Linked DNA regions of Yarrowia lipolytica. The protein of the gene in region 2 purifies or fractionates together with the protein of the main gene of each other region. This does not show direct contact. Links are inferred from orthologs where the notes say so. Each region holds a gene or a part of one and is shown on either strand. Other genes may lie near its edges.

Region 1 (4,173 bases), on a different chromosome or scaffold from region 2:
CATCAATATGGCGATTCCTGGAAGATAGACAATGGTTTGTGGTCTTGAGGGTGGTATTTGAGCACATTTCAATCCATTTTTGGACTCAAACAAGTGTTTATTAGCTACACATCAAGTAATTATGCCAACGGTTGTTGATATGTCCTCCGTCAATACGATGAATCCAGGGTACTGTAGCTGGAATTTCTCTACATAGGCGATTTGGCAAAGGACTGAGACATTTATCACTGCCCAAAAAAGACCAACATCGAATCCACAGTGCTGAGAGTTGCCTGGACAAATCAGGACTTGATAGACAGCAGAAACAGACAGAACGAGAAGCAGAAAAAGCCCTCCTTTATAGAAAAACGACCATGTGTACTCTCAATGAAGTAATTCTCCAATTTCACCACTCACATAGATGGATCTTATGTAACAAATACATCAACGATTCCCACATGACTTGCAAAAGCGGCTGTTCCAACCCAGGAAGATGATGACCACTCTTTGGGAGGCGGGATAGAACACAAAATCAACTACAGACATATGTATCCGAGTGGATCGGAGTCGTACTTGAGAGCCGAACAGATTGAAGATCTCCATTGTTCTTACCGATCATCTGGAAAGGTGTAAGTACCATATGTGCTACCCGTACTGTATGTACAGACTAGAAGCATTCTCTCAATGATTGATCTACTTGTTGTCTTCAACTGAGCCTTGGAGTGGAGCTCAAGCCGCGCGAGGTATCCGAGTCATGGTAACAATAGAAACACAAGAACCTCCTGAACGAGCTCCACCCAGACATCACCATTGTCGACTCACGACCTGAAAGATCTCTGGGACTACTTGTACTGATCTGGAGATCAGGTGAAAGTGGTCAGAATATCGTGGTCAACTGTGCGGATCGAACGTGCATTGTACGACGTAACCAGGAGGCAAGTATGGTGTGTACTGTACTGTACTTGTAGACTAGAATTGTGTCCTGAAAAGACTGGCATGTGTCCAATGTCTGTTATCCATGCTAAAGTACGGGTCAAGCCAGTCAAGTTCATGTAGAACCGACTGAGAGAGTCTGCTTCTTTCTGAACAAAGACGTCTTGGTCTTGTCTTCCTGCCCCGTCCTGCTTCACTTGCCTGGATTGGCGGCAGCTCAGCCCGGCGGCTTAGTCCGAGCAGTACCATTGCGATCTCCTTGTCTCTGTAACCTCGTCACTCATATCCCCTCAACGAGCACGCCGGATAGAGCATCTGGCAGCTTTCAGTCTCGAAAAAGGCACATGAGAGAGTAAGAGCACGGAGAGACCACGGTTGGTAGGTTCCACGGGTTCTTCTCTAGCGTGCTACAGGTACGAGTACACGTACATACTGTACAGTACATACATACATACCACCTGAAAGCGGCGCTCTGGAGTATCTCACTCTGAAGGCCCTTCGTTGTCACTCTGGAGTATCTCACTCTGAAGGCCCTTCGTTATCACTCTGGAGTATCTCACTCTGATGGCCCTCCACTGTCACTCTGGAGTATTTCACTCTGTACCTCTGTCGTCAGAGACCACCCTCATGGCTCCTGGAGACGTTCTGAAAAACATGTTCAGTACAGAGCCATATGGTACCCGTGAGAGCAACACACAATCTCCCTTCGTAATCGCGTCAACCATCTCATCCACTCTCCCCGGACCGTACCGTCCCTCCACAAACTCTGTCACTACTCAGATCCCAATCACTGCGCCAAAGGTAGGGTTAATCGCAGCATGAGAGACGCAATCAGCAAAAAAAATTGGACCTGTGCATGATGCAAGTTCCCTACTTGTAGAATAATAATAATAAAAAAATAAAAAAAAAGTTGGTGCGTGACCTTGGTCGATTGTGTATCTATGAATGACGGTACTAGGAGTCGTGGAACTATCATGAGCTCTTCTGATCCTGTCTAGCCCCTCATTTGGTTTTAGCGTCTGTTGAAGATACCCCAAAGCCCATATTAGTGGCCGTAGTACCACATTGGTTCGTTTGTGAAAAAAAAAAAAAAAAAAAAAAAAAAAAAAACTTTCAAGCGTAGTTAAATATTTTGCGAATATTTGGGTGGGTCTGAACAGAGGTACAGCCAGCACTGGTAGATATATGGTGACTGGAGCGTGAAATCAAATAAGGAAATACGAATAGGGCATTTCCAGTGACCAAATCCCACCGACAATGGAGATATTGCAAAACCAGTAGTCCCCCTTCCAGCCCAATTGCTCCATTTCGAGTGGCTTGGAGGGACCAACTAATACCTAAATCATTTAACATTAAATAAACATTAAACAAAAGTCCCAACTACTTGCTAACCATATTTGTTCTAAAAACTCCCACTCCCAACTAACCTAGTTGGCAACTAAAGGCCAAACCTAACCTGTCTCCGAAACGCTCCACAGAACGCCAATCAAAACGAAAAAAACACCATAATACTACCGCGTTCTCTAATTTTCACCATTCACCACCTTTTCTCTTCTCAACCCCGTCCCCCCGTTTCCAACCAGACCCAAGTGGCCAAATCAGACCCACTGTTTCTGTGCACAAACGGGCAAACTCTAACCGCTACCCAAACCCAGAAAAATTTTTGAAAGCCTAAAAAGATCTTCTACCAAAAAAATATTCCTTAGTGCATCTTGACATTCATCACCACACAACCAGTGCAATAACCCATATTGCACCACACAAAAAGGACTTTGAAACACAACACATACACATAATGGGCTTTACTCCTAGAGGTGGACGAGGCGGAGGCCGAGGAGGATTCGGCGGCGGAGACCGTGGTGGACGAGGTGGCCGAGGAGGGTTTGGCGGACGAGGTGGTGGACGAGGTGGATTCGGCGGAGACCGAGGAGGACGAGGAGGCGCTCGGGGCGGCCGAGGTGGTGCCCGAGGTGGTGCCCGAGGCGGTGCCCGTGGTGGTCGAGGTGGTGCTCGAGGTGGTGCCAAGGGCGGAGCCAAGGTCATTGTCGAGCCCCATCGACACGGCGGTGTCTTCATTGCCCGAGGTAAGGAGGATCTCCTTGTCACCAAGAACCTGACCCCCGGTGAGTCTGTCTACGGCGAGAAGCGAGTTTCGGTCGATGTTCCTGCCACCACCCCCGATGGCGAGGCCACCAAGGTCGAGTACCGAGTGTGGAACCCCTTCCGATCCAAGCTGGCTGCAGGTATTCTCGGTGGTCTCGATGAGCTCTTCATCGGCCCCGGATCCAAGGTCCTTTACCTTGGTGCTGCTTCCGGAACCTCCGTTTCCCATGTTGCCGATGTCGTGGGCCCCACCGGTACCGTCTACGCCGTTGAGTTCTCCCACAGATCCGGCCGAGACCTGATAGGCATGGCCAAGAAGCGACCTAACGTCATCCCCATCATTGAGGATGCTCGACACCCCCAGAAGTACCGAATGCTTGTCGGTATGGTCGATGCTGTCTTCGCCGATGTTGCCCAGCCTGATCAGGCCCGAATTATCGCCCTGAACGCACACCTGTTCCTCAAGGACCAGGGAGGAGTCATCATCTCCATCAAGGCCAACTGTATCGACTCCACTGTCGAGGCCGAGACCGTGTTTGCCCGAGAGGTTCAGAAGCTGCGAGAGGAGCGAATCAAGCCTCTGGAACAGCTGACCCTGGAGCCTTACGAGCGAGACCATTGCATTGTTATTGGCAAGTACATTCGAGCTAACAAATAAGTGTCTTCCACAGGATGATGCGGCTATGGGGTGCTAGATTGGATATAAATAATAATTGTATACTTTGATTGAGACATGTAGGATGGATACAGGAACTTGTACGACGGGAACATGGGGTGGGACCAGGGAGCCAGGGCACCACGAGACCACGGATCACGGACTCACTATTGTGCGAATGTTGATCTACTCCAATTGGACGCAGATTATGCATGCCATTTTGGAGGATTATAGAAAATGAGTTGATGAGTAATACAAGTACAATTACTTGTACTGGACGCATGTTCAAAGTATTTGCGCTCGACTGTGGCAATTGACACTGGACAGACTGAATACGAAACTTGGATAATCCCACTTGCATCGCTTAGTAATCACGAACATACAATAACCAAGTGTATTTCAACTAAATACTTAACTAAGCTAATGTGGACGACGATGTTTGTATTGATTGTAGTTTTTTTTTAGTTCAACAGAAAACGTTGAATTTTTAATACATATGGTAA
Region 2 (5,823 bases):
TCGGCGACGCTCTTGCCAACGTCATTTCTGACGGCCAGCCTCCCAAGGAACTTTACGTTGCCGACAATGGTCAGCTTGTCGTCAACGAGCATCCAGCCGAGACCGGTAAGGGCTACAACGGTGGCTGGGGCTTCTCCGGTGACGGCTCCGTCAAAGAGTTCTCTTCTTACGGCACTAAGGAGTTCTACTCTTGCGTTTCCAACGACGACCCTCTTCACGGAGGAAACGATGTCTACGTTTTCAACGGCAAGTACGCCTGTGACAAGCCCAACAAGTTCACCATTGGCGCAACCAAGGAGTAGTGATTTCTACCAACTATTTATTCTCTCTTTTCCGCTTCACATTCACGCTTTCGACCGCCTACAATGTAGTTCTTTCCCTATTTTGATATAGTAAACCAATTCAATATTGATAGTTATTTCGAGTCCATTGATGAGTTTAGTTTAGTGTAGAATGAATAGCGTATCCGCGGCAATCAACAATGACCGTTTATATCTCCCTTTGTCGTCTGTAACGCTCCTACAACGATAGCGGGTTTTTTTTATGCTAATGATTCATTACAGCTATATACCTAATAAGCCGGGTTATTGGCGTTGAATTTTTGAATTTTTGCACTCATGTAGACATAAAGTCCAGTTTTCAACATCAGGTTGTATAGTGTAGCGGTTATCACCTTGGATTCTGAAGAAAACTTCGATTTCCAGTAACCCCGGTTCGATTCCGGGTACGACCTTTCCAGTTACGGCCATATCCTGGTGAAAATACGGCTTCCCGTCCGATCAGCCATAGTCAAGCACCAGAGAGCCTAGTTAGTATTGTAGTGGGAGACCATACGAGAATCCTGGGTGCTGTAATCTTTTGCCTCTCAAGCTGAGGTATTTCATTTTTTTTGTTTTACTTTTTCTCCTATTACACTACAAGACTTTGTCTACTGACTGATGGTTGTCTTTTTTGGTATAAATTTAATGCAAATAAATAACGATCAGAGCTCACCGCACTTGTGCTTGAGTCGCACAATCTCGGCGTCTCTGAGATTAATGGTTAGTCGCAAGAGCTCGATCTTGGACAGTCCGTCGGTGGACTTGTGCATCTCCTTGATGGTGTTCTGCAGCGCCTTCTTCTCGTTGATGAGAGTCTTGGTCTGGGCCAGCAGCTTGTTGTTGGAGTCTTCGACTTCGGCAATCTTCTTGTTGTTCTGTTCGATAACTCCCACCAGCACCTTCATGTGGTTGGCCAGCCGACGGTTCTCGGCGTTGCGCTCCTTAAGAGACTTGCACACTCGCTGGTACACGTCTTTGAGCGACGTGTATGTCGTCATAAGGGTGTGTTGCGACATGAGCTGCTGCTTGAGCTCTCTGACGGAGGCAAACGAGTCTGTGACCGAGTTGTCTGACCCTCCGGTGGCAAAGAAGTCGTCTTCGGGAGACAAGTTGAAGATCTTGCCCAGGTACTCGTCCATGTTCTGTTTGGACTCGGGCTCCTCAGTTGCGGAGGCAAGAGTGGAGGGAGGCATAGAGGGACTAACAGACGAGGCGGCAGACGAGGACACAGAGGGAATGTGGCTGTAGGAGTAGCAGGGGGGTTGTGGAAGATCCATAGTCGATGCAAGAAACTCAGGCAGAGAGCCCGAGTCGGGGGGGCTATGGATTTCTTCGATCTTTACGGGTTCGGGGCTGATCTCGGTTTTGATATCCCTCTTGGTCTCTGCAGAGACCGTGTGGATATTCTCCTCGTCATCGTCCTCGATCTCGATGATCTCTATGGGTTTGATCTCCTTCTTGAGATCCTTATCATCGCATTCGGATCCGGGCGTCAGAGAGTTGGGAGTGGCGAGATTCACGTCGTCGGGCTCCGACTTGTACGCAAGATCTCGCTCCAGCATGCGCGCCATTTCCTGGTCCTCGGAATCCTTCTCCAGCTTGACCTTTTTGGCTGGAGATGCCGGCTCCGTCTCTAGAGCCCTCTTGCCATGCTCGGGACTGTTGGAGGGGTCTCCATGGGGCGACGATTCCTTCTTCCAGTCGTCGTTAAAGTCCTGCTCGAACAGCTGGTCAATTGTGTTCATTGCTGACGGCGTCAGTTGTCGGGTAGCTGTGCTCTGTTTGGTACTATGTTGTGTGTTGTGCGAAAATTCACTGTTCGATTTTTTTGCCTTCATGCACTTTGGGCGAAAAAAAAAATTTGAAGTTATGCAGGCAACATTGTTTTCGGCACTGTTGATGATACCCGATAAGACAGGGATATGGCGACCTATATATAGCTAGCTGGGGGCTGGAGCCGTTACAGAGGGGATGTGGCGACTGTGCTCTAAAAATTAGTTTGGCCACTGCAAGTATATAAATATATATACATACGTGTCCTCCAGACAACCATCCCCATACACACTTAGTACCTTTCTCTATCATAGCCCGGCCATTAGAGAGCCGCACAGGTCAACCATAAAGAGAATCAGAGCAGGTAGGTGACGATGCTGAGTTCAATGCAACCGACGAGGATAGCAAACAAACACAGAGTTGCATACTTGTAGTTAGCATGCGACATTATGTTTGTTGCCGGAAAATCCAACATATTCGACATTTCTGGATGAAGAGAAGCGGTTGTGGTCTCACCGGTGCCACTACTCCATATTATATAATCATGCAATGCAATATGTAGGTGGTGAAGTTTAAAATATTTTTTTCCCCTAGGCCCCAACATCACAGAATTATCACCAAGCACCAGCAGACCAGCACCATATACAGCAGCCAATAGACAACCAACCATGTCTGAAGCACCAAAGAAGAAGCCGGCCTGGAAGACGGCCCGAAACAAGGAGCTCCGTAAGGATCTCAAGCGGGTGGAGAGCCACACCCAGGAGGCCAAGGAGGCGGCGAAAAAGACAGAAATGCTGCTGTTGGAGGAACAGGGCTTTCTAGAGGCCGAAAACGAAATGGAGGCGACCCACAAGGTGACGCAGGAGGAGATCAAGGCGTCGGTTGATATTTCCACCAAGAAAAAGGCCTACGACCTCAAGCTGCCCGACTTTGGCCCCTATGACATCAACTTCACCCGAACAGGCCGAAAGCTGCTCATTGGAGGCCGAAAGGGCCATGTGGCAGCGTTTGACTGGCGAGAGGGACGTCTACAGTTTGAACTCAACCTCAACGAGACTGTTCGTGCGGTCCAGTGGCTCCATAACGACCAATACTTTGCTGTGGCCCAGAAAAGGAATGTCTTCATCTATGACCACCAGGGATCCGAAGTACACAGACTCAAGCAGCAGATCGAAATGACCAACCTCGATTTCCTGCCCTACCACTACCTGCTCGTATCGTCGGGTCTCACCAGCATGCTCTTTTACCAGGATGTATCTATTGGTAAGCAAGTGGCTGCCTTCAAGACCAGACTGGGCCCCACCACCTCCCAGTGCCAGAACCCCTATAATGCCATCATGAATCTCGGCCACTCCAACGGAACCGTGACCATGTGGTCGCCCAACGTGGACGAGCCTCTGGTCAAGATGCTGGCCCATCGAGGCCCCGTGAACGACGTTTCTGTCGACCGATCAGGACGATACCTGGCCACGGCTGGCTCCGACTCGTCCGTCAAGGTCTGGGATATCAGAAACACCTACAAGGAGGTGCTGCGTCTGCCCCGAACCAAGGTGGCGCCCCAGACGGTTAACTGGTCTGACTCCAACCTGCTTTCTGTGGGCCACGGAAACACCATCACCGTGTGGAAGGACGTGCAATCTGCTCCTCGACCCAAGCAGCCCTATATGCAACACAACATGCATCCCGACTGGAAGGTGAGCAGCGCGCAGTTTGTGCCGTTTGAAGACATCCTTGGAGTAGGCCACTCCGAGGGCTTCTCTTCACTCATCATTCCCGGAGCCGGAGAGGCCAACTTTGACGCTCTGGAAGTCAACCCTTACCAGACGCGACACCAGCGACGAGAGGAGGAGGTGCGAACACTGCTGCAGAAGCTCCAGCCCGAGATGATCACCATGGATCCCGAAGACATTGGACGAATCGCCATGGACAAGGACCGGCGACGAAAGACGGCCCGAGAGCAGATGGAGGAGATCACGGAGCCCAACAAGAAGCGGGCACAAGAGTCGGACGACGACATGCCCGAGCTGCAACCCCATCTGGCCGACGAGGAGACGGCCGTCAGCAAGGAGCTGCAAAAGAAGAAAAAGAAGGGTGTGGTGGACGAGCGGCAGATGCGACTGGAGCAGCTTCAGGAGCGAGAGCGACGAATGCGAGAGAACAAAAAGCGACGACTGGAGGAGGGATATGTGGAGGAGTACGTGTCTCCTGCTATCTCCAGATTTCAGCAGAGACAATAGATAATTTATGCATATTGAACGAGCAAAAGTACAAGGCAAGTAATAGCAGACCGGCTGCTGACAGATGGAGTGGCCAAGTGAATCTGTACGCGTAGATGTAGTAAAAGAGCTACTGCTTATCGGTCCATCTCTTGTACCCAGGCATGGGAACACGAGTAAATACTGTACTGCGTCTCTTCAGATATTCTTTACTAGTGAAAGACCAACAGCGACTGGCTCGTTTCGAAAGTAGTCTCTTGATTACATGCTGTCTGTACTTTTACCGGTATGTGCGAACAGATTCATATGAATCGAACATGAGATAACGAGCCACCGAGCCACTCCTTTTCAGGCAGCTGATACTTAGGGTCTTGCTGCTGACTCGTTTATGAGTTGGCCCAGTGTAGTCATGTTTACGTTGGATCTAGCTGAAGAGAAGTGCCGTCGATATCATGGACCAGTGGCAACACATTACAATAGAAGGGACTTCGTTCAATCCCGCTTTTCTCGTCGTCTAGTTTTCAACTCCATGTTCTATTGCACCTTCCATTGCAAGCTGTTCTTTATATATTGGTTACAACTGCACAACAACAGTGTACACGCCCAGTCATTTGTGCGCTCCATCTACAGGCACTCTACGCCCTTGCTCGGTTCTCCAACAATCATTACCAATATGCTTACTCGGTCTCCTCGACGTACTTGAAAGGCTCGGGCAGAGGAGCCTCGTCGTCCTCATCATCAAAAGGATTGTTGATCTGTCGGACCGTCTTGATGAACTGAGGCTTCTTGCCGCCCTTGCCCTTCTCCTGGTCTCTCAGAACCACAACTCCACCAACAGAATGCAACTTTCGAATGGGCACAAACCGGTTCTCCTCAGGAAACGAAATATACTTGAGCTGGGAAGGCAGCACTCGTGTTAAGTTGGCAAGACGCCACTTCTTCTGACCGGGGATTCGCTTATCAGCGTCCTCGTCCACCTTGGCCTCCTTGGCAGGCTTTGAAGATGCTGCAGCGGCGGAGGAGGGCTCCTCGGGCTTCTCCTCAACTTCCATCTTGTCAGCCTTATCCTTCTCGTTCTTCTTGGCCCGAGCCTTGGCACGAGCTGTGGTAGAGAGAACGGCGGTGGCAACCTTTTCGGGAGCCTTGTCAACCACCTCCTCGGCAGGAGGAGGGTAGCCAAAGTAGGAGGGCTTGTGAGAGGTGACAAAGTCAAACTGGGGGATCTTGAGGTCCTCGTTGACTCCGGTGACAGCAGTGGTGCTGAATGACAGAGACAGGAAGTGGGTGTAGGGGAACCAGTACCAGAACTGCGAGAAGACAACCAGACCGACAATGGCCTTCATGTTAAGAGACCCAGTCTGGGGGTTCTCAAGAGCAATGGTCACATTTCGACCTCCGGCATCAATGATACCCTGAGCTAGAGCAGCACCAAACTTGACCATGGGGTCCTCGTGCTTGGAGGCAATGGCATGAGCAAAGGTCTCCCGGGCAGTCTTGACTCGAGGACTCATCTT

The links.
Region 1: the proteins of YALI1_F13446g (region 2) and YALI1_C22857g purify together in Saccharomyces cerevisiae (affinity purification with mass spectrometry; 4 studies listed by BioGRID). This does not show direct contact. The link is inferred for Yarrowia lipolytica from reciprocal best matches to the Saccharomyces cerevisiae genes UTP7 and NOP1.

Annotation. Positions count from the first base shown.
Region 1 is NC_090772.1:2,284,258-2,288,430, reverse strand, and holds YALI1_C22857g (rRNA methyltransferase NOP1), read left to right. Parts: upstream 1-2,707; coding exon 2,708-3,673; downstream 3,674-4,173. Other genes in the region: YALI1_C22878g (uncharacterized protein), read right to left, coding at 112-362, 429-582; YALI1_C22876g (uncharacterized protein), read left to right, coding at 664-681, 747-947.
Region 2 is NC_090775.1:1,341,574-1,347,396, reverse strand, and holds YALI1_F13446g (uncharacterized protein), read left to right. Parts: upstream 1-2,761; coding exon 2,762-4,330; downstream 4,331-5,823. Other genes in the region: YALI1_F13476g (uncharacterized protein), read left to right, coding at 1-302; YALI1_F13452g (uncharacterized protein), read right to left, coding at 983-2,158; YALI1_F13395g (uncharacterized protein), read right to left, coding at 4,987-5,823. UniProt on the Saccharomyces cerevisiae protein: Involved in nucleolar processing of pre-18S ribosomal RNA.